Linked DNA regions of Elephas maximus indicus. The protein of the gene in region 2 interacts with the protein of the main gene of each other region in a biochemical or structural test. Links are inferred from orthologs where the notes say so. Each region holds a gene or a part of one and is shown on either strand. Other genes may lie near its edges. The genes, in order: RNF5, MAVS, TRIM31 and IRF3.

Region 1 (6,448 bases), on a different chromosome or scaffold from region 2:
AACAGAACAGGGGCCTGCATGTCACAGTGGAAAAGAACATGCTGCTGCCATCGAATGTATGCCAACAGTGCAAGAGTGGGGTGACTGACGATATTCACAAATGCAGACGATGTGGGGGTCGCAGCAGCACCAATGAGTCCCATGGACACAGACAGTACACAGCCACTGTCGAGATAATGTGAATAAAGAGACACAGGCCAGGGAGGTCAGCCAAGTAAGAAATATGGGATGGTTCTTCGGGGACTGGAGACCCAGTTACCTTTCTCCTAATACTTTCCACTTAATATGTGATATTGAGTCACTGATCCTCTCAGGAGAGATGTCCAAGGATTGAGAAACACACGGGAGTGCCAAATGGGTTAAGAAACAAACGGCTCACAAAATATACTGCCAATAAAACTATTAAATAAATAGTATCTGTAACCAGAAGCACACACACTATCTCATTCTACGTAAGTGTGTCCTGAGGAGAAACACGCACGTGCATGGTGTGAAAACATGCACAGCAAACAGGCCAATCCAATCAACCTGAGTGTGCACTAGTCAGCTAAACCATGGGATTCCACGCATGAAGATTCTGGCATGGACCATGGACATGTGAGTCAAGACAAAATAAGGTATAACCTTTATGCGCTAAAGTAGACATGCAAAAACAAAAACATGCCAGTACCATGAAACCGTACAGAAGGTGCGATATATGAAAACACACATACAAGGGGTAGGTACTTCGACATGTCAAAACTGGATGGGAGACATGGGACCCAAAATATGAGAATGAATAATTGCTGAGGGAAAATAACACATCACTTCTCCACAGCGCATGGACAACTGAGGCACATGCAAGCCATTAAGCATGTCAAAGGCACACAGGCTCAATGCAGAAAACACAGCCCACACAAGGCATCTGTGTCAGTAAACGTTAGCACAGTGTTGAAGGCCACTGTGAAACAAGAAGGCCTGTGCCTGGAGGGAAAAGAGAGAGGTGTCTGAGGACATTCCTAGGAAGCAAATTCTGCTGGGGGGAAGGATGGCAATAACTGCCTTCTTCCCTCCCCCTCCCCCTTCAAGAGTCATGTGGGGCCAAAAACCAGGAAGAGGTTTTGGGGAAGGTGTAGGGAATGCCCTTTTCAGAATTTCCTGCCGACACCCCCAGTCCTCAATTGACATGGTCTTCATCTCTCCTCCCTCCCCTGTCTGTTCCACCCTTCCTCCCTGTCAGGCCCCCTCTCCTCTCCCCAGTCGGCCCTCCCAGACCCAATCTCTCCCCATCCCCTCATCCACATCCCTTTCAGCACCCTCCTCCCTCCTCCTCCCGTCCCTTTCCCGCCCCCACCTCAGTGGGGTGGGGGGCCTGGAGGGCTGGCCCCCTCCCCAGCCAGGCTGCGGCAGCGGTGGTGGCGGCTGGCTGTGTCTCTGCCTCTGTCGGGGTGTCGGTGCCAAGGGGGCGACGGGATTGGGGGGTGTCCTAGCCCCGGCCGATGGAGGGGAGGTGGTAGTGGGAGGCTGGGCCCATAGCGGTACGAATGATGGGGTGTTGTACCCCAAGCTCCCTCCCTGCTGTCTCTCTCTAAGGGCTGGGGCTGCTGCTGCTGCTATTCCCCCCCACCCCTCCCGAACGCCCGCTGGCTTCCGGGGCTGGCCAGGAAGTAGGGGAGGTGATGGGCGAGCTGTTTCGCCAATCATTCCCAGGGGCCCTCCTCTCATCCTCCAGCCTCCCCTTGCTAGCTCCTCCCCACAAGAGCTCAGCTGGGCTCAGCCCCTGCCCCTCTCTGGGTCCAGGTGCTTGTCTTTTTTTCTCCGTCCTCCTTTCAGCACGCACAGCTCTGGATCTCTTGGCGCTGTGTTCCTTCCTCAGCTCATTCCTTCTCCTCATTCTCCATCAGCTCTCCACTTGCCACTTTTACTTGGTTGGTCTCTTTCTGGTTTCTCCCTTTCTCCTTAACTCCCATATCTGTTGCTTATTCTCTCCAGCTCCACCTCATCTCTAAGACCCCCTTTCCTGTCCTCGATTCCGTTTCAAACATGCCAGGCGTTGAGTTCTTTACCTCTTTTGTCTCCAGGGTTCCATCTCCCCTCACCTCAGCCTCCGGCCCTATGGTGTGGTCTGGTCTTTTTGCCCCTCCCCCCATTATCTCCCAGCAGACCAGTTCCCTCCCCCACCCTCTCTGGACTTAAAGCTAAGGAATATTCTCTAGCCCTCTTCTCTCCCCTTTCCCTTCCACGCTGTTTTATGAAGTGATTTTTCTTTACTAGTTCCTTCCTTCCTACCAGCCTCATTACTCAAGCTGAGCCAACCCTGCCCACCACAACATAGAATGTGATTGCATCTTTTCTTCCAATGTGTTCCTTGAAAGAAAAAAAAAAAGTGGGTAAGAATGCTGATTGCTCTGGGGTGAGCAAGCCTCCTTATCTAGCTCCCTCTCCAACCCTGCTCCCCTCTTCCCCATACCCCAGGGCTCCCGGTATCCCTTTACCAGGATCATTCCATCACTCCTCCTTCCTAGTCTCCACCTCTCCCTCTTAATTCCTTTTTCCTATACGACCTCAGGCCTCCAGAACCCTCACCTACCGTCTGCTAGGCATTTCCCAACTTCTCACCTCACCCCACTCGATTCACGTGGGACCTTTTATCAGGGTGTTGCTGAACAGCTTTCAGCCAGTGTTTCCCTTCAGCCAGTGTCTGCCTCCCGCCCCCAGACACACCTTTTCCTTGAATGAGTTTACACGCACTGGGGATGCAGATGTAAAGAACATTGGCAGTGGGAGGACTGTTACCTAGTTCTCCTCCTTGGGCCAGAGTTACGGTCACTGACTGTAGGAAAGCCCCAAACTCTTAGGAAAGACCTAAGCTCTGAAGCAGCTTGCCCAAATACTAGGGCTCCAGGCCAGGAGGAAGACCCCAGTTCTACGGGACTTAAGGAAGGGCGGGCCTAACCCCATTCCGCCGCGGGTCACCTAAAAGGGGCGGGCCTTGCCATCTACGCCCACTCACAAAGGAGTGGAGCCAGACGTTTTCTGCTTTTAGGTTTAAAATGGAGTCGAAGTCAACTCTATTGTATCCTGTGTGTCACATTAAAAAGGGGATGGCCTTTAGCTCAGCACTGGTCTGTAAATCACCTAAAGAGGGGCAAGCTGAACCGCCCAGCCGAGGGAGACTGGTTAACACCAACACCGCAGATCGATGCTCCCACCATCCAAACCCAGTTCTGCTCCCTTCTTCACTAAAAGGGAGGAGCGGACCCAAATTCTGCTCTCTACGTAGGAGGCCGCAGCCATTTTGAACCCTGCAACCCCAGTATCTGCCCTCTTTTCCGAGGTCTTCGCCGTCTTTCCAGATCTCGGCCAATCAGGAGCGAAGGAATCGGCCCAATCAGCCGAGAGAGAGAGCGAGAGAGAGAGAGAGAAAGAGAGTGTGTCCATAGCCGGAGGACCCGGATGAAGCCGTACCGAGGTTCAACTCAAGCGCAGCCAATTGTGGAGCAGTCACCATGGAGACAAGATAGAGGTGAAGGGGTGGGACCAGAGAAGGCTCAACCCTCTCAGGATTGGCCCGGCCCGGCCCATCACGTGCTAAACATGCGCATTTTACTTAGTCTCCATTTTCTGGCTAAGTTCTAACCAATCAATTGCTTTTGAGTCACAAATTCGAAAGTCCAATAGGAACCCAGACTTTGTCGGAAAGAGGAAGTGAAGGAAAGAAAGTCCCAAGCCAATTGCTTTTGGCCTTTGGTTATGACAGGCAGCTACTCAGACGAATAAAACTCTCCCTGGCTGAGGGACTGGCTTATCAAGTTGTTACCAATCCCATGGCTCTGCAGGCTGACTCCCACCATACCAACCAATAGTCACTGTGCAAAGGCAGGACCACGCAAGCCTCTTTCGGCACATACCGTTTATACCAATTATTGCCTTTGAACCCTACGTGATTGGCAGACACTCAGACCAATACTGGTTAAAAACCCTCAATGCCGCCCCAACTATCGTGGGCGGGAGGCGGTTTCTCGTTTGTCGGAGTGTGTGTTTGTGTGTTTGTGTGTACTGAGGGGTACCCGGGGGTGAAATAGAATCGGCAATGGCAGCAGCGGAGGAGGAGGACGGGGGCCCCGAAGGGCCAAATCGTGAGCGGGGCGGGGGGGGCGCGACCTTCGAATGTAATATATGTTTGGAGACTGCTCGGGAAGCTGTGGTCAGTGTGTGTGGCCACCTATACTGGTGAGAACTGGGAAGGGGGGGCGGGAGGAGGGGCTCACGTCTGTACTGAGGAGGCTGGCGGCGGGGGACCATAAATCATACAGATAATTAGAGGGCACATCCCCATAGGTGAGGCACGCGGAGGGGACTTATGTCTCTTCAGGTATGTGTCGGTGGGAGGGTCTCGTTTGTAAAGACAGACCCGTGGAAAGCAGAGGTCATGGAAATTAGAAGCTGAGGCGTGGGGTTATGTTAAGAGGGTGTGGGACGGGAGGGACATAGTAAGTGCTTACGGTGGTCTTAGCCGTACAGGTGGAGACAGATGATATCCAAAGGTTAGGGGAGGCATGCGTTAGCTGACTGTGGGAGGCGCAGGGAACTGTAGGATCACATTCAGGTGAGATCTGGGAGAGGTTGGTATGACAAATCTGGGGATAAGGGCACTGTGGAAGGGCAGCCTTGAGAGATTAAAGGGTCCTAGAAATACTTTATTGGACCTGAAAGTGAGTGGAAAGGAGTAAGGAGGATATATGTTAGTAAAAGGGGTTAGGCTTGGAAGTGATAGGGCTGGGTTGAAGATTAACTGGAAATTAAGTCTACAAGCAGACGGGTTGATAATGTATGTGGGTGTGTGTTGGGGAAAAGAGGATTGAGTGTGTTGAAGATGGTTGGAGCTTTAAGCATTGGAAGACCAGAGAAGCAGGAAGGCCAGGTTGGCTGTTGTAGAGGCTGCCGAAAAGATGTAAAGCAACAGCACAGATACCTGGAAGAGGAGTGAGATGGGTATCTATGAAGTCTGGGTCTGTGTCTCTTTTCTATAGTTAGCTTGACCTTTTTTTTTTTCTTCCCCCCATCCAGTTGGCCCTGTCTTCATCAGGTGTGTACTCAGAGGAGATGAAGAGGGAGATGGGGAGGCCTGAGGAGCTTGAAGACTGTACTGGAAACCAATTCATTTTTTTCTCCCCAGTGGCTGGAGACACGACCTGATCGGCAAGAGTGCCCAGTGTGTAAAGCTGGAATCAGCAGAGAGAAGGTTGTCCCACTTTATGGGCGAGGGAGCCAGAAGCCCCAGGATCCCAGGTGAGAGAGGAGGTGGTATTGAGGGGAAAGTCAGAGGCTTTTTGCCTGGGAAGGGTGTGTGAAAGAGGAGAATATTCCTGTCGATACTCCTTTTCCTCTTCCTCAGATTGAAGACTCCACCCCGCCCCCAGGGCCAGCGACCCGCTCCAGAAAGCAGAGGGGTGAGTCTTCTTGTCCTACTGTGTTTGTTCCTTGCCCAAGACTTGCCTGGTTCCCCTCTGACTTTCTTCACCTTCCTAGGGATTCCAGCCATTTGGTGATATTGGGGGCTTTCACTTCTCATTTGGTGTTGGTGCTTTTCCCTTTGGCTTTTTCACCACCGTCTTCAATACCCATGAGCCTTTCCGTCGAGGTGCAGGTAAGAGCCATCGCTCAGCTCCTACTGGGGAGCCCTCGGAATCCCCTCAAGTCCTCTCCCTGCCCTGGAGTGGGTGCGTCCTCTGCAGCTCTTCTCTCTCCCACAGGTGTGGATCTAGGACAGGGCCACTCGGCCTCCAGCTGGCAGGATTCCCTCTTCCTGTTTCTTGCCATCTTTTTCTTTATCTGGCTGCTAAGTATTTGAGCTGTGTCTCCTTCCTGCCCACCTCCAGCCAGAGAAGAATCAGTATTGGGGGTCCCTCGTGACCCTCCTTACTCCTGGACCTCCCTTCCCCAACCCTTCCACTTCTGTTTGCTAAGGCCCAACCAGCCACTCTCGAGGAGGGCATGGGGAGAAGTGATATCTGGACACAGGATGGGAGAGCCTTCTGCTCTGAACTGCTCGCTCGTCTTAACTCCCGGCCCTGAGGGAGGAGGACAGACTGAAGAGAGTGTCGGTTTTTCTTCTCCTAACCCTTTGTTTTCCTCTAGATTTCTAGATTTGATGTTGAAAGGTGGGCAAGTTTCCCTCTGACTCTCTCTCATTCCCCACTTGTTGATTTAATTTAATTTTTCTCTCCCCAGTGTCTAATGTGGGTTCTGACTCTAAGTGCTACCTCCCACTCACAACCTCTTTATTACAAATTCAATAAAAAAAAAGGTGAAAAGTATATGTGGGATCTATCCCAACGTCTTCCTTCCCTCCACTTTTCAGGACAGGAGCAGCTTCTCCCAGCTTGAGTAGATGTTTGAGGTGGTGTGGGACAGCATGGGGGTGAGCCCCTCCAAGGCTCTTGGGTGTACAAGGGGTAAGGTTGCC
Region 2 (7,266 bases):
TACACACTAGATGAATGCCAAAAACATGTTGAGTGAAAGACTCCAAACACCAAACAACATGTACTGTATATTTTACCACAATTAAAAAATGATACCTAAAAAAGCCAATATGTACTGTATGGGAATCATATTTATGATTATCACATTTTATACAAATAACGCATGCATTATATGTTTTTGCCAACCACGCAACTCCCTCATGCATTATTCTCCTATGTGTGCTATGTGTGTTATATGTGTGGGCCTGTTATTTGCTAAAAATATGGTAAGTTCAATAACAGACAAACCAAACTATGGTGACAGAGCCAGAATAACACTTATCTGGTGGGGGGCGGGGGGCGGGGGGGTGGGAAGAAACAGGAAGGCTTTCTGGGGAGATGGAAATATTCTATATCTTGATCTGGGTGCTGGTTAGACAGGTATTTACGTAGATGCAGGAACAGAACAAGGTGATATGCTGTGGTTTAAAATCAGGAAAGGTGTGTGTCAGAGTTGTATCCTTTCATCATACTTATTCAATCCCTATGCTGAGTAAATAATCCAAGAAGCTGGACAGTATGAAGAATGCAGCATCAGGATTGGAGAAAGACTTGTTAACCTGCTATATGCAGATGACACAACCTTGCTTGCTGAAAGTGCAGAGGACTTGAAGCACTTACTGATGAAGATCAAAGACTATAGCCTTCAGTGTGGATTATACCTCAACATATAGAAAACAAAAATCCTCACAACGGGATTAATAAGCAACATCATGAAAAATGGAGAAAAGATTGAAGTAGTCAAGGATTTCATTTTACTTGGATCCACAATCAACACCCATGGAAGCAGCAGTCGAGAAACCAATAGACATAATGCATTAGACAAATCTGCTGCAAAAGACCTCTTTAAAGTGTTGAAAAGCAAAGATGTCACTTTGAGGACTAAAGTGTGCCTGACTCAAGCCATGATATTTTCGATTGCTTCATATGCATGCGAAAGCTGGACAAGGAAGAAGGAAGACCAAAGAAGAATTGATGCCTTTGAATTATGGTGTTGGTGAAGAATATTGAGTATATCATGGACTGCCAGAAGAAGTACAGCCAGAATGCTCCTTAAAAGCAAGGATGGTGAGACTTCATCTCACACATTTTAGACATGTTATCAGGAGGGATCAGTCCCTGGGGAAGGACATCATGCTTGGTAAAGTAGGTCAGCAAAAAAGAAAACCCTCAGTGATATGGATTGACACAGTGGCTGCAACAATGGACTCAAACATAGCAACAATTCTGAGGATGATGCAGGACCTGGCAGTGTTTTGTTCTGTTGCACATGGGGTCGCTTAGAGTCAGAACCAACCAACAGCACCTGTCATGGAGTGAATTGTGTCCCCCCAAAATATGTATACCAGTTTGGCTAGGCCATGATTCTCAGTATTGTGTGATTGTCCACCATTTTGTTATCTGATGTGATTTTCCTATGTGTCGTAAATCCGACCTCTATGATATTAATGAGGTCGGATAGGTGGCAGTTATGCTAATGAGACAGGACTCAATCTACGAGATTGGATTGTATCTTGAACCAATCTCTTGTGAGCTATAAAAGAGAGAAATAAACAGAGAGGCAGGAGAACCTCATACCACCAAGGAAGCAGTGCCGGGAGCAGAGCACGTCCTTTGGACCCCGGGTTCCTGTGTGGAGAAAGCTCCTAGGCCAGGGGAAGGCTGATGAGAAGGACCTTCCTCCAGAGCCAACAGAGAGAGAAAGCCTTCCCCTAGAGCCGATGCCCTGAATTTGGACTTCTAGTCTACTAGACGGAAACCCTGGTGGTTAAGTGCTACGGCTGCTAACCCAGACTGTGAAAAAATAAATTTCTCTTTGTTAAAGCCATCCACTTTGGTATTTCTGTTATAGCAGCACTGGGTAACTAAGATGGCACCTAACAACAACATACGCTTAAGATTTATGTATTTTACTGAATGTAAATAAGGCGGCAAAAAACTGAACTCCTAATTCTGGGGTGGGGACACAGGGCAAGAGACTACAAGAGGGGCTGAGAGCAAGCAGAGCACCAGCGATGGGGTGGGAAACTGGACCATGGGAGGATGTAGCCAGGGAGAAGTCCTCTGCATTGGGAGAAGCCAGTGAATTTTCGGATCATAGACATCTAACTTTGTGTCCTGCCCATGTTCTCATTTCCCTGTATTCCACCCCGAGTCCTCAATTAATGTCTAATGCCAAACAGCCTGTGTCAGTGATTTCAAGAAGGAAGGGCTGGGTGGCAGCCCCTGAGTGGTATATGGGGAGCAACAAAATGCCTCGAGGTCTGATGAGGAGGCCACATTGACAGGCCTCGGGGAGCTGGCTGCAGTGGGGACTGACCCAGGAACTGACCTGGGCAGAACGCTTTCCTTCTTCTGAGACCCCTGAGAAGTGAGGAAGCCTCATCCCAGATCCTGTTATGGCCTAGATCATGACTTGATCTGATAGAAGTCATGGAAAGGGTTACCCCCGGAAGCCAGAGGACTTGGAGACCCTGCATTGCAGAAAAGGAAGTAATAGAAGAAAAGACACCAGGTGTCACCAGGAGTTACCCCTGGGTGGTGGCATTATGAGTATGGATTTTGTTTTTCTTCATTATTTCTGTTTTTCCCACATTAGCTGTACAAGCATATATATATATATTTTTTCTTTTGTAAATACATTGACAGTGTGAAAAAATAAAGTTTAAAGAATAACAGTTAAAAAGTATTTGAAATGAGGTTGTAAAGGTCAGGATTATCTTTTGTTTTTCAGTCTTGGGAGGGCTCTCTGAAGGGATTCAGACATGACAACATGTACTTTTTTTGGGGCCCTCTGGCATTATCTTTGGGCCTGACCTCTGTCAAGGGGGAAAGGTGAGCTGGTGGTTGCTGAGTCATCACGTGTGGGCCACAGCCCTCTTTGGAACACTAGCCACTGCTGTGGGGGAGCTCTAGGGGTGGGAGTGTCTGAGGCCTTCACAGGGAGGTGGCCTAGGGCATAGATCATGTTCTGGACTGGTTCTTCTGTGAATACATGGCCAATGGTCAATGAATTCTGCTCATGAAATAGAGTAAAATGCAAGAAACAATAAAGGATAAAATAATAAAAATGTCCAGATAGGGTCAAAAGATGCTTTTTTATTTTGAAATAATTTCAAACTCGCAAAACAGTTGCAAAAATAATACAAATATGTCCATCTTACATAACCACAGTACACCAATCAAAACCAGGAAATTAACACTGATACAATATTATTAATCAACCCAAAAGCCTTATTTGGATTTCTCAGGTGTCCCACTGATGTTCTTACTCTGTGTCAGGATCCAACACAGGGTCCCACATTGCATTTAGCTGTAGTGTCTTTTTAGACTTCTTTCATCAGTAACATTTCCTCAGTCTGTCCTTGTCTTTCATGACCTTGACATTTTAAAGTTATTCCCTACATTAGTGCCCTCGAATAGAACCTTTTTTTAACTGCCACTTCCTGAGATGATAGAAATGTGCTGTCCAATAAGACAGCCATCAGCCACGTGAAAATAGCATTTGGAATATGGCTGAGAAACTGAATTTTAAATTTTATTTAATTTTCACTAAAATTGCTAGATGTAGCTAGTGGCCACTATATTGGGTGGCACAGCTGTAAAATGTCCCTCATTTTGGGTTTGATGTTCCCTCATGATTAGCTTCAGGTTATCACCGTGGCAAAAATATCACAGAGGAGCTGTGCCCTCCTTTGTCTCATTTTTTAAAAGCTACAGACAGGTGATTTGGGACCACCTACCAGGCCGACCATCCCCACACCCAGCGTGCTGCCTCGCTGGGCATGTGCGCCTTTGTGACCTTTGATTGTCCTCCGACATTTATCGAGCACCAACTGTGTGCCAGGCCCTGGGGACCCAGGAAAGAACCAAATAAAACTCTCACCTCTCAGAGCACAGAAGGGGAGAAACTGGGGCTTCACATAGAAAGCGCGATGACTTAACAGCAAAGAATCCGAGGCCGATGGCGGGCCTGGAGCCCGGATTTCCCCTCGAAGTTTCTCGAGATGAGCAAGGGAAGAAAACAATCCCCCCCACGCCCCGCCCCATGCTGGACTAGGTCGGTCGTGCGACCCGGGAGCCCGACGTTTCCTTCTTTCCGAGCCAAGTCCCCGCCCCGCGCTGTCGGGGCAATGGCCAGCCGCTCTGTCCCCGCCCCTGCGCCCTTCCTTCCTGACTACAGGGTTCTAGTTGTCCCGGCGGTCCGCAGGTCACCGGGTCGTGGCTGCCCGAGGTAAGACCGCCTTCCAAGGCGCCTGGTTCTCGTGGCCCAGAGCGTACGGGCGCCTTCGCGGAGGAGGGCCGCGGCCGCAGGAACCGAGTGGGAGTCCGCCGGGGTGCACTGGGCACGGGCGAGCAGGGGCACAGGGCCCGCGGGGTCGAGAGAAAGGGGTCCTGCGACACACGGGGTTCGCGGAGAGCCGGAGGGACAATTGGGGGGGGCGTCCGCTACGGCTGGAGGGGAGGTTGGGCGGGAAGGAGACGGGCACCGGCCGCCCAGCTCCTCCTGCCGCCTTAGGCCCAGGGTGACCCCAGGTGAGTCCAGGCTCGGGCGCGGCGACCTGTAGCGGCGGCGGCGGCGCTTGGGGGTCGAGAGCTGCCGTCTTACCTTGGGTCTCGGCAGTTCTCGGCGGTGACACCTGCTGGAAGAACAGCCTCGCCGCCCTCCCCGGACTTGGGTCTGGTCCAGGAATCCGAGCCGAGGCTGTGAGGCCTCACCCTTCCCTGTCCACTGAGTATTTTTTTCCGGAACGCGCTCGGAGCCTCTGGCGCACTGAGATCGGAAACTCATCGCGGCGCCAGGAACACGCTGCCGCTGCCCCCTGGGTCACTGAGATTGGAAGAAGGTGCCAGAAAAACATTGGAAAAACAAAAGAAAAACTGCGTTCTCTGTATGGATGCTGTGAAAGCCTTATAAACATTCGGAAGGACAGTCAGCGAGTGGGGAACCACGCCGTGGAGGTCAGGATTAGAAGGCACCCAGCCTGTCTGAAAGATTTACATTTCTCACTAAAAACCAAAAAACCAAACCCGATGTCATCGAGTGGATTCATAGCGACCCAATAGGACAGAGTAGAAGGGGGCATCCTTCCATGCGCGTCTCCCACCTGGTGACTCCCCTTAACCCCTCTCCTCCCACCCCTTACCTCATTGGTCCCTCCCCGGGCTTGAAGGCAGGAAGTTGTGGGTCTCACTTGCTGCAACGGGTCCTTTACCAACAGGCTGAACAGTGAGCTGCAATGAGGCAGCAAGACATGGGTTCAAATGAAAGAACCTTAGAAAGTGCTTGCCTCAATAAATGTGAACAAAAGTGGGCTTTCTGTCTTTTTGGACCACATCGATTCCATCCTAGGTCCGCTTTAAAGGCTCAGTTCCTTAAGGGCTGAGGCCTGAGTGCCATGGGGAGAGAAGAAGGGTCTATTATGCACCACAGAGTTGTTCTTTGCTCATCTTCCGAAGGCTCAGAGGATCCCCCACCATCTCCACCTCCCTCATCCTCCCGACCTTCTGTCCTTAGTGCTCATACATTCCACCAGGATTGAAGCACCTGGTGGTTGGCAAAGCAAAGTGCACATAGATTGTAGCCAGGACTACTGCCCCTTTTCTCGTGTGCCTAGGGCTTGCCGCCTCAGCAGCTTTTAGGTATTCTCTGTAAGGCTAGAGGTCTCGCCCAAGCCTGGTATCTACTAGTTCTATTGGCACTTGTTTCTACTCCAGCCTGGCCTTCTCGCTTGTGCCTCCTTTAGCATCTCAAGCTTCACTTGTTCAAAACTCCGTGCTACTGCCCCCCCACCCCCACCCCACCCCCACCCTATCTATCCTGTAAACACCACCATCTGCCCACTCAGCCCCCAGGGTATCCTCCTTGATTCTTCTCTTTCTCCCACATCCTACATCCAGAAAATGGCAGGAATCCAACTACCCCTTGCCAACTCCATGGTTACCACCCTGGCCATACTCATCATCTCTCCCCTACTGTGGCTCCTGCCATGTCTCTCTGCTTCCATCCTGGCTGCCCTACAGTCCTCATTCACAGCCAGAGAGCTCTTAATATAAATCAGATCCTCTCCCTTCCCTGCTCAGAACTCTCCAATGGCTCCCGGTTTCACTCTGAATAAAACCCAAAACTCTTTCCTGCAGCACCCTACATGAGTGGTCCCTGCCAACCTCCCGGACCTCCATCTCTGCCCCTTGCCCCTGCTTATTAAACTTCGGCCCCACTGGCCTGCTTTCTAGTCATCAGACATGCCAAGCTGTTCCCATCTTTGGGCATTTGCAGTCACTGCGCCCTGTTTCTGGAATACCAATCTTCCCACAGCTGAGAAGGGCTCAGCTCAGATGTCACCTCTTCAGAGAGGCTTGACCAGTCGGTTCAAGTAGCACCCTTTTCTCCAGGGGCTCTAGCTCATTACCCTGCTTTATTTTGCTTACAGTTCTTATTCCTACCTGGAATTCTTATTTACATATGTGTTACTGATCTACTATCTGTTCCACCCCAATAGAATAGAAATTGGGTGATAGCAGAGGTCTTGTCTCTTATTTCCTGTAGCACTCCCTGATGGGGGAGGCAGGTAAGAAACCAGTAAACACACACATCTACAATAACAAATTGTGGTAAGTGCTACGTAAAGGAAACAGCAGCTATTGTTTGTATTTGAGGTACTTTTAAAATTTTAAGCTTATAGGCTGAACTACTACTATATTGATAAAACAACCTCCCAGAGTCATTTTTGGGGTGAGGAAAAGCCTGGTAATTTGCCCCCAGGACACACAGTGAGTTTAAAACAGTGAAAGTGGTCTCCTACCATAAGAACATGTGTGTAGCAAGCTTTAATGATGGGCTTGCAGTTACGTCCTGGGAAGAACCTGATCCTGGAGCCTAAAGACCTCAGCTCTTTGCTCTTCCACTATCTAGAAAGTCCTCTAGATTCTTGGTACCTCATTTTCTTAATCTCTAGTATGATCTAATTATTATTATCTTGAGCCTCTTTTTTTTTTTTTTCCCCTTAATAATACCCCAAAGAAGCAGCACTTCTGGGTGGAGCTCTTGCTATTAGCCTGAGGGCCTTGGTGCTGGGAAGAGAGCCAGTACACTCACAGGCATAGCAGGTAGGGGCTCAGGCAGATGTAGACCTGGGGATGATGAGGGCAGCCAGAGCCATCTTCAACACTGACCAGGCAGCAAGGCAGAAATGGGCTGTACACCTTTTAGATCTGATTTTTTTTG
Region 3 (7,309 bases), on a different chromosome or scaffold from region 2:
AACCCTGCTTGCAGGGGCTGGTGAGAAGGGCGGAGGACTGGAATGGCTTTGCATGGTCTTTCTTGAAAGAAAGAAATGGCTTCTTGCACTGATGGGAGTAGGAGGTGAATTCAGGAGGGATCTCCGCTTATTTTGAGCATCAACTAGACACATGCTGTCCGATATGGCAGCCAGGCCACATGTGGCTACTGAGCACTTGAAATGTAGCTAGTACTATGAGGAACTGAGTTTTTTAACTTATTGAATTTTGACAAATTTAAATTTAAAAACTGAAGGAGTGTAAAATACTTTTTCCATCAAACACAACTTTATTGATTTGGTAGGACTACGTTTTACTTCAGCCATTGAAAATTTAGCAGTTGAATTGAGATGGTGCTGAGGTGTAAAATGTGTGCCAGATTTCAAAACTCAGTATAAAAAATGTAAAATATCTCATCAATACTTTTAAGTATTGTTGTTGATTTAAATCATAATACTTCGGATATAGTGGGTTATATGAAATATATTATTAAAATTAATTTCACCTGTTTCTTTTTATCTCTTTCAATGTGGCTACTAGAAAAAAAAAGTTCAATTACATATGTGGCTTGCAATATATTTCTAAATTACATATGTGACTAGCATTGTATTTGTATTGGACAGTGCTGTGCCAGAGGTAAAATGATTGGGATGATCTCAGTATTACTAATTGAAAGATTGGTGGTTCAAACCCAATCAGAGATGCCTAGGATCTGCTTCCAAAAGGTCACAGCCTTCAAAACCCTGTGGACCACAGTTCTACTCTACACATATGGGGTTGCCATGAGTCAGAATCAACTCGACAGCAACTAACAAAAACAACAAGCAGTATTCTGCCAGGTGGTCACGCTCTGACCTGTGACTAGGGATGGGCTGGTCCCTCTCTGCAGCTTCTCCCCCAAGGGATTCTCACCGAGAGCATCTCACGGGGTGACATTTGCTGCTTGGCCTTCAGGAAATCAACAAGCCTATTGAGAGAGTTCAGCTGTGCCTCAGTGGAAGTGCCAAAGAAGTGACCCCCGTTCTCTCCCTCCTGAGCCAGCCAGTCCAGTCGTAACAGGAGAAACTTCTCCTCTTCCTCTAGAACCTGACGCAGGTGCTTGAATTCTCTGATGATCCTTTGTTTTTCATGCTCCACCTGGGCCTGGGGGCGAGGAGAATGGACACTCAGAAGACAGGATGGCCTCAGAGGCTCTCACCCATCTCATCCAATTTGCAATTTTATTGTTTACACTTACGTTGTCAATGTAGAACAATGTTCCATGGCAGATTTGGAAAAAGAAAGTTGAGGAGAACTAACTTATTTTAGCATTTACTATGAGCTCAGTTTTAGGGTAACTTATTTAATGTTTAATCATTTTTGCCTTCAAGGGCCTGAGTCTTTAAAATTATCTTGCATTTTCAATTTATAATCTCCTTTCACACACACACTCACCCACCCACACACACACACACACACACAAAACAGGTAAAGAGGTTGGGTGGAGTTACACTGTCTTCATTTTTTAACTGGGGAGTCAGTCTCTAGGTAAAGACAGTAGGTAAGAGGCAGAAGTAGGTATTTAAATTGGTATTTCTGATGCTAACACCAGCCCGTTTTCCCTACATCACTATCTCCAGGTGGAGGAGACTGGAGTGTTTGACCTACTCTAATAACGCAAGGCCAGGTGCAAAGGTGCTATCGCAGACAAGCAAATGTTGTGGTAGAGGAGAAGGCATGAACACATCCTAAACCATGATGCCTCAAGTCTTTCTGTACCTCCAGCCTGCCCATCCTACACTCTGCCCCACTCTGAGCCACTCTGTTTGTCACTGGGTCTTTTTCTGGGTGGTGAGTGTAATAAGAGATTCTAGGGGCTTGAAAGAGAAGATGTATCTGCTTCCAAGGACCGTTGGACAGAGAGACCCACACCTGAGCATTTTCTTACCTTGAAGACATCGATCTTCCGTTCGCCTTGTGCTTTCACCTCTACTATCATCTTCTCCTTTTGCTGCAAGTCCTTGAGTTGTAATTGAATTAGTCCCTGTGGGGAAAGGACAATTTTCCTAAGCTGTGCCTGGGAGCTCTCTTGGCCTCACAAAACCTCCTGATCTCTCGGGAAGGTGGGTGAGACTGGGGGGAGCTGGGAGCTGGTTATGATAGGGAGGAAGAAATCTGGGGCCTCAGTGACCTACAGGAGAAGAATGTGTCATCTGTGAATAATTACAATTAATATCTGAATGGTGCCTTGGGGTTAATAAAGGATTTCCCTCATTTGTTCTATCAGACTGCCTTATAAAGGTAAATTCTGTTCTGTTGGCCCCATTTGAAAGCTGAGACAGGCTCAGAGAAGTAAAGTGACTCCTTGAATGTCTTATGGAAAACTCAGGAGCTTGGACTTGAGCCCGAACCTTCTGATTCAAAATTTTTTGCCTTTTCCATTTTTCATTATGGTTTGACTTCAAAACACTTCAGACTTTTGAACTAAATGGTATGCCAGAGATGATGAGATCCCTAGAGTGCCCACCCTGCCTGACTCTGAACTGCCCACTCAAGTGTATGGGGCGGGGGTGGTAGTAGTGCAAACCCAGAGGAAAGAAGTAACCATTCCCATGTCCTCACCGAGCTCCTGGTCTGATGGGCGAGACAGGAAAGGGACCCAAAATGCTTACCTGATACTTTGGGGCAGCTTCTTCTATCAAGTTGGCTTTGTGGGATTTGTGGTCCTGGGAGTCACGACACACTGTACAGAGAAACTTCCCATCATGCTCACAGAAGTAATGGATCTTCTCTTGGTGCTTCTGACATCTTGGTTCTTCCCTTTCTGGTTGTGCCTCAAGGGGACTCATAGCTTGGATTTTCTCTACCAGATTCATCAACAGCCAGTTGGGCCTCAGCGTGTCCTTCCTCACAGATTTCTTGCAAAGGGGACATTTGAGTAAACCGTCTGATGGATCCTGTGTCCAACTGATACAGCTGAGGCAGAAACTGTGCCCGCAGTCGATGGTGACAGCGTCCTGCAGAATATCTATGCAGATGGGGCAGATCACTTCCTCCTGCAGGTTACTGACAAACTGTGGACTGGCCATGATGAAGCAGGAGGGCTTCTTCTGGTCTGTACGAAGTCGTACCAGGTCTGCAGGAAGGTTTCTCTGAGCTGCGGGGAGATGGGTTGTGGACACTGGTTTGAGCAAGGGAGAAGGAAGGAGAGGAGAAGGGAGGGGGGGGAAAGGGGGATAAAAGAGTAAACGAATAAAAAAAGAGTAAGAATTAGAATGTAGAGAATATTTTAAAGAGAGAGAACAGATGGGCCAATCTACCTTACTACTTCTTGAGATCAAATGGATATATACTGCTTATCAGGTTGGGCAATTTGTTCTGAACCTTGAACTAATTAAAGATACAAGGCAGTTAACTGATTCCTAAAAGACCATGGTACCGAAGTCCACAGGACAGAAGACTTCCTGTCAGTTTCAGCAGGGCGTGGAGAGGCTGGGTGAGGCCTTTGGAGGTCACACATGTTGGGACCGTTCAGCTGGTTCACTAGCCATGGCTTTGGACATCTCTTGTCTGCAGAGCCCAGATGTTGGGAGAGCACATGGAAAGGAAAAACCAGTTGCTGGAGAGTGGATTCTGGCTCGTGGTAACCCAACATGTGTCAGAGTAGAACTGTGCCCCCTCAGGGTTTCCAGTGGCTGATTTTCAGAAGTAGATCACAGGCCTTTCTTCTGAGGCATCTCTGGGTGGACTCAAGCCGCCAACCTTTCAGTTAGCAGATAAATGTGTTCACCATTTGCACCACCTAGGGACTCCATATGGAGAGGAGGGAAGGATTCTTTACCTCAGTCAGGTACTTTGGCTGCTCACTTTGAAGAGTTTTCTGAAACTAGGGAAGATAGCCACCTCAGGGAATTTCTAGTCACAAGGAAAAAGCCACCATCCCTCTCATGGGGAGATTCCTGGTCCAGTGGGAAAACAAGAAATTTATTGCAAGTCCATTCTCTTGATTTGTACATTGTTCTTGACCCTAATGGATCCTTACTTCCGTGTAGCACCTGAACCAGTCTGTCCTTTGTTGTCGTTTCCTGTATGTCATAAATATGCTGGTGTCTCCATGCCCATTCTTTGTTTTCACTAGAAAAGGACATTATCTTTGGGAAAGTGGAGGGTCGGTGAAAATGAGGGAAACCCTGAATGAGATGGATTGACACAATAGCCACAACGATGGACTCAAACCTATCAACTGTCATGGGGATGGCATAGGACCCAGCAACATTTCGTTCTGTTATACTTAAGGTCATCATGAGTCAGAGCTAACTCCATAGCAACAACAATAACAATGTTTAATGTATCTGTATTTCTTCCTGATTCTTGTTGCTTCTCTGATCCCTGAATTGCCTTGGCCTATGCCTTCTGTCCTGACTAGGAAATTTATTAACTAGCATCATCTGTACTCCCTTCTGTAACTCAACACAATTGTGTCCTAACCTTTCCTCCTTCCCACTTGTCTTCATCTGGATTCCGACTTCTAACCAACCTCTGTTCTCTCCAGCATCTGCCCTCTGTCCTTACCAGGAAGTAACCATTAATTTCATTGGATATCAATATTAGGTCAAACAGAGATTGCAGATGATTATAAGATTATAGCCAGATACATTCTGATTTGTCTGGGACAGCCCCTGGTTTCATTGTCCTGGAGTAATTATTAATACCTTCTCCGTTCATTCTCAAAATGTTCAGTTCACACAATAAATTATATCGTTGTCCTAATTATAGCAATTGCTGAAAGTCAAAGAATTTCTGAAAGTCTATTCCTCCAGGCTTTTCTGTTTGTTTGCTTTGAGGATGAATTAAAGCATCTTAACATTTGTATAATGATTTACTGTTTATACACATCCTAAACTGCTGGCCCCTGGAAGCAGAATTTAACTTTTGGACAGGTTTTGTTTGTCAGGCATGGTGACTGAAAAAATAACCATAATTCTGATGCCTTTAGAGAGGAGATCTATTTTCCCCACCACCCCCTAGCTCCTTAGATCATGTCAGTTAGGCCCATGGGAGTATTGGACCTTATGATCCTGCTTTACATATTTCTTCTGCATGTATTCTGAGTGTGTTACATCGCAAACGTAATTCTCACCGCTAAGTCCAATGTATCAGTAATCATCAGCAATATAAATATATTAAGATAGCCTTTAAAAGACAGAGATTATGAGATTATAGCTCATATATATACATATATAGCAAAACCCATTGCCGACGAGTCATTCCAACTTGTAGGGACATTATAGGGCAGAGTACAACTGCCCTGTAGGGTTTCCAAGAAGAAGCTGGTGAATTTTAACTGCCAAGCTTTTGGTGCCACCAGGGCCCCGCATATGTATGTAAAAAAAAAAAAAAGGTTTTTTTTTTTTTTTTAAATTATGTCACTGTAATTCAAAGGTGTCCATTCTTCTATCTTCCTTATTCATTGTCCAGCTTTCCCATGCATATGAGGTGATAGAAAATACCATGACTTGGATCAGGCACACCTTAGTCCTCAAAGTGTCATCTTTGCTTTATAAAACTTTAAAGAGGTCTTTTGCAGCATATGTATCTTTTTAAAATTTAGCTGTATGCTGATTATAAGAAACAAAGTTAAAATGAAATGAAGTCTAGAAATAAAGGGATGATAAAAGACGTAGGAAAATATTAACTCACATCTGCCCAACAACAGGAATGTCAGACAAAATAAAATTTAAGATAAAAAGCATGAAATAAAGAGGGGCAGTGAGTTTATGTTCATGGGGGAGGAACAACTCAGAAAATGAGGGTGAGAATGGCTGCACAATTCAGAGAATGTAATCAACGCCACTGAATTGTACATGTAGAAATTGTTGAATCAGCCTATGTTCTTCTGTATAGATTCTCAACAAAAACAACAAAAGTAAAATAATTCATTAAACAAATAAAGACGAACACTCCATGTTGTCAAAAAGGAAAAATCTTCAAGAAGACATGACGATCATGAACTTCGTGGACCTCCCTAAAAACATAGCCTCAAATGACATAAAGCAAAAACCAAGACAAGTACAAGTGAAATGGACAAATCCACAATATGGAGAGATTTTTATCACCTCTTTTAGAAATTGAAAGATGACACAGAGACAGAATTTTTAAAGATATAGAAAATTTGAGCAACATAACTTGATCAGATATTTTTACATAGGATTTTATACTCAACAAAGAGATAACGTGTTGTTTTCCAGTGTGCATGGATCACTCAAAGAACTGATTACCCTCTAGGACATAAAGAAGTCTCGACAAAAAGTATTTCTATGATGCAGATCATATTCTCTATAATTTAAATAAAAATGAGCAAAAACACAAAAAAGATAATTCGAACAAAAACTCACTCATATGTTTGCAAACTAAAACATAAGCTCTTAATACATGGCTTAAAGTGGAAATTATGATGGAAATTACGAAATATTCAGTAGTGAGTGACAAAGGCAATCCTCTGTATCACAATTTGTGGGATTAATTAAGGTGGTACTGGGAGGGACATTTATAAGTTAACGTGAAATTTCTAAAAAAAATAAAATGCTAAATATAAATGAATTAAGAGTTTAAAATAAAGAACTGGAAAAAGGTAACTCAAAGGAAGTAAAAAACCAAAACCAAACCCCGTGCCGTTAAGTTGATTCCGACTCATAGCAACCCTATAGGACAGAGTAGAACTGCCCCATAGAGTTTCCAAGGAGTGCCTGGCAGACTGGAACTGCAGACCCTTTGGTTAGCAGCCATAGCACTTAACCACTATGCCACCAGGGTTTCCAAAGGAAGTAAAAGGAAAGAAATTAAAAGCAGTTATTTTTTTATTATTAACAAAATTTATTTTATTTTATTTTTTTATTGTGCTTTAAGTGAAAGTTTACAAATCAAGCCAGTCTCCCATACAAAAATTTATATACACCTTGCTATGTACTCCTACTTGCTCTCCCTCAATGAGATAGCGCACTCCTCTTGTTAAAAAAATTAAAAAAAAAAAGATCGATAAAACCAAAACTTTGTTCTTTGAAAATATGAATACTAATTACTAATTTTTTAATACTAATAATATGGACATTAACTTTAGCAAGACTTGTCAAGAAAAAAGACACAAATGAAGCATATTTAGATTAAAAATGGCAAAATAGCTATTCACAGTGTTTGCAAAAAGTTACAAGAAGACACAATAAACAACTTCATACCAATTAATTTGAAAATATATATAAAAGAAAAATGTCAAAAGATGGGGAAAGATCAAACATAAAAGAAGACCTAAACAAA
Region 4 (7,724 bases), on a different chromosome or scaffold from region 2:
CGTACAGGACAGAGAAGGAGTGCCCCACAGGGTTTCCAAGGCTGTAATCTTTACAGAAGCAAACTGCCACATCTTTCTTCTACAAAGCAGCTGGTGGAGTCGAACCATCGACCTTTCGGTTAGCAGCCGAGTGCTTAACCACTGAGCCAATATATATATATTCCCTGACTTACGACTTATTAGAGTTATGATGAACCACACACACTTATGATTTTTTTTTTACGATTTGTGTATTTTTTTAACGTATGTCTGTATTATTTCTGTAATTTTATACGTAATGTTTCCAAACCCAAAGACAAAGATGAGATTTATAAAGATACTGATAATAAACAACGACCCGTTGCTGTCCAGTCAATTCCGACTCATAGCAACCCCCCGCATAGGACAGAGTAGAAAAGTGATAGCAGTGAAAACTAAAATAAAAAATGAAAAACAAAAAATGAGATATTCAGTTTTCCTCAGAACCGATTTACGATGAAGTCACAGAATGGAACCCTTCGTAAGTCAGGGACTACCTGTACATCTCACTGTTCTGTTTCTCTAGAGAGCCCTAAGGCTCACGGGGAAGGGGATTCAGGCACCACTGGGGAGACAGACTGTAATCGGATTAGTCCCATACACAAACGCCCACGGCAGGCCAGGCGCCCAGTACTTAGGAGAATGATCCTATTTTAATCCTTAGGACAACCCTTTGAGATAGGTACTACCACTTTCCCACTTGATGGATGTGGAAACTGAGACCCAGGGAGATGCAATCACTTGTTTTCGGGGCTCACAACCGGTTAGTGTATAGCGGTGTGGTTTAAGCCCTGGGTAGTGTCTGATCACTGCCCCATCAGGTACACAGTTGGTGCTCAATAAATACAGAATGAATGAATGAATGGTATAGCTGGGAAAACTCTGTCAGATCTGAAAGGATGCCTAAGAAGCCAACTCCCTCCCCACATTACAAATGGGTAAAGGGAGGCCCAGGAGACTTCAGCGGCTCACCCATCCTCCGTGGGCCTGGATCCAGGGTGAGAAGCTGTGCACGTGCTCTACGCTGAGTCCGGCCAGGGTGCCCCCTAGCCGGGCCACGCGCCGGGTCAGCTCCATGGCCAGGGCCAGGCGGGCCAGGGGCTCCGGGGAAGGCGGTGGGGGCCCAGGGCACGGTAACGAGGGGTGTGTGCGGCTGGGTCGAGGACTGGTCTCGCGGCTAGAGAACAGCTCAGCAAGGCGTGAGAAAGAGCCCGTGGAGAGACGGGCCAGCTTGCGGCGCAGGGCTGGGTCTGAGGCCAGCTGTGGGGCAGGGAAGGTAAGAGGTAGAGCTGCCCCAGTCACGTCCCTTTGCCCGTGCCCAGCCAATAGGAGGCTGGAGGAGTGGCCTTCTGGTCCTAGGGCAGCCTTGATGCTAACATTTTAAGCCACGCCCACCCCTTCCATCAGCCAATCACAAAGCAGCCCCTATAGCTCACTCCAACTACTCACAAGGAAGTGGTCCAGACCCTGAGATGGTAAGCCACGCCCCTACTGAGGCATTCAACAGCCAATCAGGGCCAAGCCCTTCTTTAGGGGCTCTCCAGACCCTAATTTTCTAGCCTCGCCCCCTGGGGATTTCCTGGCCAATCCGAGCCCTGGAGGCCAGGCTAGGTTCTAGTACAACCTCGCCCTCTTTAAGACACAATAGTACAGTGCCAGGCGCTTTGCCCAGACCTCCGAACCAATCAGATTCCAGGACACGAAAACAAGCTACGACCCCACCAATGCTCCATTTCCCTCACTTTCTAAGCCGTACTGTGGCCTTAGATTTTAGAGCTTCCCTCCAATTTCTCTCCTAGATCCTGTCTCTTATGGTCTCACCCCTGGAGTTAGGCCATGCCCCTCTACCAATGAGAGCCACTAACTTAAATTGTCCCCACCCTCGGCCCACCATACAGCCAATGCGAATGAAGATCCAGTTTCTGATCCCAGTGCCCAGATACCCCCTATTCCTATCTTCCTTGAGGAATGGAACAGCCCACTCATCACCTTCTGGTTGATAACTTCTGCCTCCTCCTCCAGCAAGACCACCAGCCTCCGCAGCAGGGCTTCTTTCTCAGTGGGTGGAGGGCCCTGTAACTCTGGGGGCAGAAGAGAATTCTGCTGGGAGCAGAACCCTGGCTACCCTCCTGTTGTTAGCTGCCATGGAGTCAGCTCTGAGACTTACGGTGACGCCATGCACGACACAGACTGATATGATCCATAGGGTTTTCACTAGCTGATTTTTTGAAGTAGATTGCCAGGCCTTTATTCCTAGTCCATCTTAGTCTGGGAGCTCTATGAAACTTGATCAGCATCACCACAACATACAAGCCCCCACTGACAGGTAAGTGGTGGCTGCATATGAGGTGCATGGGCCAGGAATCGAACTCAGGTCTCCCACATGGAAGAGGAAAATCCTACCACTGGCCCACCACTGCACTCCTAGCCCCATCCTTCTCCAGGGTCTCTCGGCACCTCACCTGGGCTAGGTGGTGATCTCAGTTGCTCTTGGACCAGCTCTTCAAGCCGCTGAGCCACCAGGGTGTAGAAGTCCAGAGTAGCTGGGCCTAGGGTGAAAGTCTGGAGTGAGAGGTCTCCAGGGTATCAGGGACTTAGGGATTCTCTCCTTCTCCAAATCATCTTGCCAGGTAGCAACATTTCCATTTTTAGGAAACTGAGGCCCAATGAACAAACTGGGTAGTAAAAGACCCCCAAACTCTTGTACCCCCAAACTCTGGACTTAGAATGTTAGGGCTGAACTGGATCTTGAAGATGATTCCATCTAAGGAAAGCAAACACATGGCATTCCAGCTATCACCCTAGCCCTTGTCCGTTTCAGGCATCACCAACTGACCACAGCACTCTTTTCCCCAGCTGTAAAATCCTTGTCAAGCTAGCATGCCTAGCGGCCATTACTAGTTTATCTAGCTTCACCTATGAGAGGAAACCTGTTTGTCATTCTTGATCAAGTCCAGTGACACCTCCCATTCCTACTTTGCTATTGGAGAAACAGAGATACAAGAAAGGGAAAGGATTTTCCCAGAGCCATGCACCCAAATAGCCAGGGAACAGCAATTGAAAAACAGCCCTCCTGCCTCTCTACTGGGAGTACTTATGGCCACAAAAGTCCTGGGGGCAGAGAAGCATGTATGGAAGGAGAGAGATAACAACTAAATATCAACTTGATATATAACTAGATAGAAAGGGACCACCCGCCCTCCCACAGTCAGCCCAGGAGATTGACAGAAATCTAATTTTATGGAGGGTGGGAGGGGAACAGAATAGAGAGAATTGGTGCTGGAGACCTCACACAGCTACCCTCTAGCTGAGTGGTGTTCAACTAGTTTCTTATCCTGTCTGTGCTTCAGCAATCAAGGCACCTGGCCCTGCTGGTTTTATGGGTGATCTGGGAAATCTCTTACCAGGTTCTGAACCATAGCAAGGGCGGAGGGGCAGGGAACAAGGCCGAGGGGACTCGGGGGGAACTGCTCCTTGACCCGGGGAGCAGGGAAGGCATCGACGAAGGCGGCTTAGGAAGTCTGTTGACTGCTCCTGGGTGGGACTCCTGGGGAGAAGGACCACAGAGAGTGACTCCAGAGGCCCCCTGCAAGCACTCTCTTCTTCCTCCCATTGAGGACTCCCTCCCTGCAACCCCAGGGACAGGGAACAAAGCCAGTAGAAGGGAGGAAAGGAGACAGACTGAGACCAAGAGCAAGTCAGAAAGGACCTAACCCCAAATGCTGGTCCCTGGGGGAGAAGGGCAACCCCTCTTACCTGGGTGGGGTTGTAACAGGGGACCCGGCAGCCTCACCCCGCCTAAGGAATGCCGCTAGGACCCTCAGTGTGTCCTCCCGAAGCCCCAACTCCTCCGAGCCTGCCATGGAGACACCTGCAAGAGAGGAGGCTGGGGGCTGGACTCCAGGGTCCAGAGGAAAGAGAAAGCTTGGAGCCCAAACTCTTTGTCTCTGAATGAGGAGGGGGCCAGGGGCTTGGACTTATGAGTCCCCAAGGGAGGAAGGGACTAAGGGCCTGGGTTCTGGGGGCCCAGGCTCCTGAGTTCCCTGAGGGAGAGGGGATCCAGGGCGAGGAGGGCACTGGGGACCAGACTCCCGGGTCTGAGAGAGGAGGTGGCTGGAGGCCAGGACTCCTGGGTCTGAGGGAGGAGGGGGCTAGAAGCCCTAGCTCCTGGGTCTGAGGGAAGACGGGCCTGGGGGCCCACAATCTGAAGAAGGCATATGCCAAGCTACTAAATCCTTAGAGGATCAAGGACTACCAATCCCATGAGTTTTTGTGGCACACATCCCCCTCGGTTTGCTCTTGTTCGCCGCTCAGCCTGCCGGGAGCTGTAGTTCCACTATGTGGCTCAGTCTGGACTCTTGGGGATCCGTGGGACGCTTGGGTTTCGGAGAAAAGAGGCTGGGGTGCCCGCTCTGGCTCCCGGTCTCTCCTCTTCTCTGCTTGCCCAGCCCACGCTAACACCTCACTCACCTGGCCCTGGGCCCCGCCTCCGTCACCTCCTCTACTGAACTTGTACAAACTTTTCTGCAAAAGTTAACTTCCCCGCGCCTGCGCACTGGGCTGGGTTGCTGCGTGCCGAGACGTAAAGGGGCGGGGCATTGTCCGCCCACATATTTGCATATGGAGCTCCCAGCATGCTTGTGCCCAGAAAGCCTTAAAAAGGCATGGGGGGCAGGGCTCTAGGCTGACGGAACCGCTCCTTTTGCCCTGGAGTTGGCACCCAAACAATGATAAAGTTGTTTTATTTCGAGACATCGATAGAAAGGAAAACGCCACCGCCCTAGAATTCAGCTGGCGGGAAAGGGGGGTGCACAGTTTCGAGTTCGAGAGGTACCCGAATCCTCGAAGACAGTGGTGGCCCCAGCATCCTGCGCGCTCCAACCCTCGAAATAGGTAAAGCGGAAGAGCTGGAGAGAGAGTTGGTGCCGTCTAGAAGTGAGGAAAGGGAGAAAAGTTTGGCCTGCACTGATAGTGACGAGGGTGGCTGTATATTCTAGAGAGAATGAGGCGAGGAGAGGGCTACACTGGCCGGCGTTGGAGGTCGGCAGAAGTCTATACCGCCAGGAGGAAGGGAGGAGTCTACACTGGGAGACCTGGGCGGGGAGGGGGGAGAAGTGTGTACTCTGCATCTGGGAGGGAGTACTCTTTAGAAAGTGGGGGTGTGCTTTGAAGGAGGGAGCCTTTCGGTTGGGGAGAACTGTGGATGGAGGCCTACACTGAAATGGGGACGTGGGTTCTTCTCTGGCTGAACTGTAGAGAGGGACCTCCACTGGGGTAACTGCGGGAGGTAGGGGTCTACACAGGAGTAGCATCTGCACTAAAATAACGAGGAAGGGAGGGCTCTACCCTGGAAGTGGGGGAGGGAGGAGTTTGCAGTGGAAGAGAGAAGGGCCTGCACTGGCGGAATTTAGGGGGTAGATGGTCTGCACTGAAGAAGCTGGAAAGGGAGGGGGTCCTTACTCAAGTGGGGAGCTGCTCTGGGGGGATGGGAGGAGGAGGTCTGTGGTACAGAGAAGGTAGTTTTGCACCCCCGGAACCTGCGGGTGAGGGGCTTGCGCCGTGGCCTTGGAGGGGGAGGCGCGGATGAGCCGGAGAGACCTCCCGCGCCCAGGAACTGCCTGCCCCTCTGTCCACAGGCCGGAGCATGGCGACCCAAAAGCCGCGGATTCTGCCCTGGCTCATTTCGCTGCTGGACAGGGGGCAGCTGGAGGGCGTGGCCTGGGTGGACGCGAACCGCACGCGCTTCCGCATCCCTTGGAAGCACCGCCTGCGGCAGGATACGCAGCAGGAAGACTTCCGCATCTTCCAGGTGCCTTTCTGAGCGGCTTGCCTCGCGGAAAGGAGTCCGAGGGGGCGGGCCCGGGGCGGGGTTAGCACGCGTGGAGCTGGCCCGAGTGCGTGCTTGTGGGTGGAGGTGGGCGGAGTTAGAGCGGGAGGGGGCAGGCTTAGCAGGACAGGTGGCCTGACAGCAAGTAGTGGGCTAAGTAAGAATCAGTGTTCTCATTTAAGAAATACAAAGATGAAAGCGGGTTTAGCATGCGAGGGCGAGGCCTGCAAAAAGTTAGAAACCTGGGGGTCGAGGAGGGCGGAGTTATATCGATGGAGGGCCCGGGCGGTCCGAACTGATGGCAGGTAATGGGGAGGGTTGGAACTCCCAGGTTCTGCGAATAGAACCAGAAAGGCGGGATTAGAACGCTGAGGAAAAGCCTCCTGGAGGCTGGGGGCAGGCTCTTGGTTGCAGAATTCTGGGGGCAGGTCTTGGAACTTTGGAGACGAGGCTCAGAGTCCCAAAGCTGGTTTAATTACCATCAAGTTAGGGTACACTGGTGGTGTATAGGTAGAGTTAGAGTGCGGGGAGGGGGGTTATTACAGAGGGTGCCCTGGGGCAGGTGGTGGGTGGATTTAAACACCCAGTAGAACCTAGAAGGATGGGTTAGAAAGCAAAAGTTTTTGAATGCTAGGAGCAGATTTTGGGGCACGAAGAATCCGAGAGTTTGGTAGTAGAGCCTTGTTGAGGTAGCACATGCTGGGGAGACAGTTAAGTGTTATGTCCTCTGGGGCAGGATCGAAATCTTCTCCCCTCCCCTGGCTCCCCTATCCGACCCCCCAGGCCTGGGCCGAGGTCAGCGGAGCCTACAATCCAGAGAAAGATAAACCAGACCCCCCTACCTGGAAGAGGAATTTTCGGTCCGCCCTGAACCGGAAGGAGGTGTTGCGTGTAGCCGAGGACCGGAGCAAGGACCCCCTCGACCCGCACAAGATCTATGAGTTTGTAACTCCAGGTGTGCAAGGAGTGCCTTCGTATGGAAGGCTGGGATCTGGTGGGGTCCCATCACCCTTTCTCAGCTCACTACCTTTTTTGATAGGAGTTAGGGACTTTCCTGAGTTGGACACCTCTCCGGACACCAATAACAGAGGCAGTACCTCTGATACTCAGGTAAAAATGTGCCCCCACCCTTTTGCCCCACCCCCTCCTCTCTGTCCCCATCAGCCTGTTTTGGCCTCCCTTTTCCTGCGTGGTACAGCCTCTCCTCCCTCCGGCCGCATTATCTCCCCTCCACTCTTGTCCCCCACATGACCCATGGCCAACCTTCCCCTTCCCTGCTCACACCCCTCCCATGGCTCTTCAGTGTCTCAGGAGAAAAGTCAGAGTTTTCCCTAGGCCTCAAGGCCCTAACACACCTTACCAGGGTTTCAAAGCTTTCTCGCTTGGCAGGGTGCCCACCAGCTCTTGGGAACCCAAACCCCCCCCCCTCACCCAGGATCTTGCTGATGCCTGTGCCAGGGAAGGTCCCTTCTGAGATTCTATTCATTCTCCCATGCCCAGGTCTTGCTAGATCCATGGGTTGGAATTAGCTCCTCCTCCCCCAAGGCCATCATTGTTGCGTGCCATCGAGTTGACTCCAACTCACAGCAACTCTGGATGACAGAGCAGAACTGCCCCCCTAGGGTTTCCTGGGCTGTAATCTGTACCAGAGCAGATCAACAGGTCTTTCTCCCACAGAGCTGCTAGGTGGCTTAACCAACCTTTCTGTTCGCAGCCAAGCACTTACCCATTTGTGCCACCACGGCCAAGGCCATTGTAGTGCCTGGCATATATATGTCTTGCTGTCTGTGCCCATGGCTGTCTCCACGATCAGACTGGGAGCGCTTTGAGGGCCAGGCTCAGTCCCTATGTTGCTGAGCACAGGGCCTGCTCTGGGAAC

Evidence for each region.
Region 1: the proteins of MAVS (region 2) and RNF5 form a complex in vitro, tested with the Homo sapiens proteins (2 studies listed by BioGRID, with this or other methods). The link is inferred for Elephas maximus indicus from reciprocal best matches to the Homo sapiens genes MAVS and RNF5.
Region 3: of the proteins of MAVS (region 2) and TRIM31, one has a biochemical effect on the other in vitro, tested with the Homo sapiens proteins (2 studies listed by BioGRID). The link is inferred for Elephas maximus indicus from reciprocal best matches to the Homo sapiens genes MAVS and TRIM31.
Region 4: the proteins of MAVS (region 2) and IRF3 form a complex in vitro, tested with the Homo sapiens proteins (2 studies listed by BioGRID). The link is inferred for Elephas maximus indicus from reciprocal best matches to the Homo sapiens genes MAVS and IRF3.

The regions. Positions count from the first base shown.
Region 1 is NC_064819.1:93,665,927-93,672,374, forward strand, and holds RNF5 (E3 ubiquitin-protein ligase RNF5), read left to right. Parts: upstream 1-3,908; 5' UTR 3,909-4,072; coding exon 4,073-4,212; intron 4,213-5,049; coding exon 5,050-5,068; intron 5,069-5,158; coding exon 5,159-5,271; intron 5,272-5,377; coding exon 5,378-5,432; intron 5,433-5,511; coding exon 5,512-5,629; intron 5,630-5,734; exon of another isoform or gene 5,735-5,735; coding exon 5,736-5,833; 3' UTR 5,834-5,848; downstream 5,849-6,448. UniProt on the Homo sapiens protein: Membrane-bound E3 ubiquitin-protein ligase that mediates ubiquitination of target proteins. May function together with E2 ubiquitin-conjugating enzymes UBE2D1/UBCH5A and UBE2D2/UBC4.
Region 2 is NC_064843.1:42,464,744-42,472,009, forward strand, and holds the start of MAVS (mitochondrial antiviral-signaling protein), read left to right. Parts: upstream 1-4,182; 5' UTR 4,183-4,272; intron 4,273-7,266.
Region 3 is NC_064819.1:89,764,100-89,771,408, forward strand, and holds the start of TRIM31 (E3 ubiquitin-protein ligase TRIM31), read right to left. Parts: upstream 3,088-7,309; coding exon 2,671-3,087; intron 2,043-2,670; coding exon 1,947-2,042; intron 1,163-1,946; coding exon 932-1,162; intron 1-931.
Region 4 is NC_064829.1:100,112,805-100,120,528, reverse strand, and holds the start of IRF3 (interferon regulatory factor 3), read left to right. Parts: upstream 1-4,659; 5' UTR 4,660-4,911; intron 4,912-5,654; 5' UTR 5,655-5,662; coding exon 5,663-5,827; intron 5,828-6,628; coding exon 6,629-6,800; intron 6,801-6,884; coding exon 6,885-6,955; intron 6,956-7,724. Other genes in the region: BCL2L12 (bcl-2-like protein 12), read right to left, coding at 991-1,278, 2,008-2,099, 2,481-2,567, 3,423-3,565, 3,775-3,889, 4,274-4,301.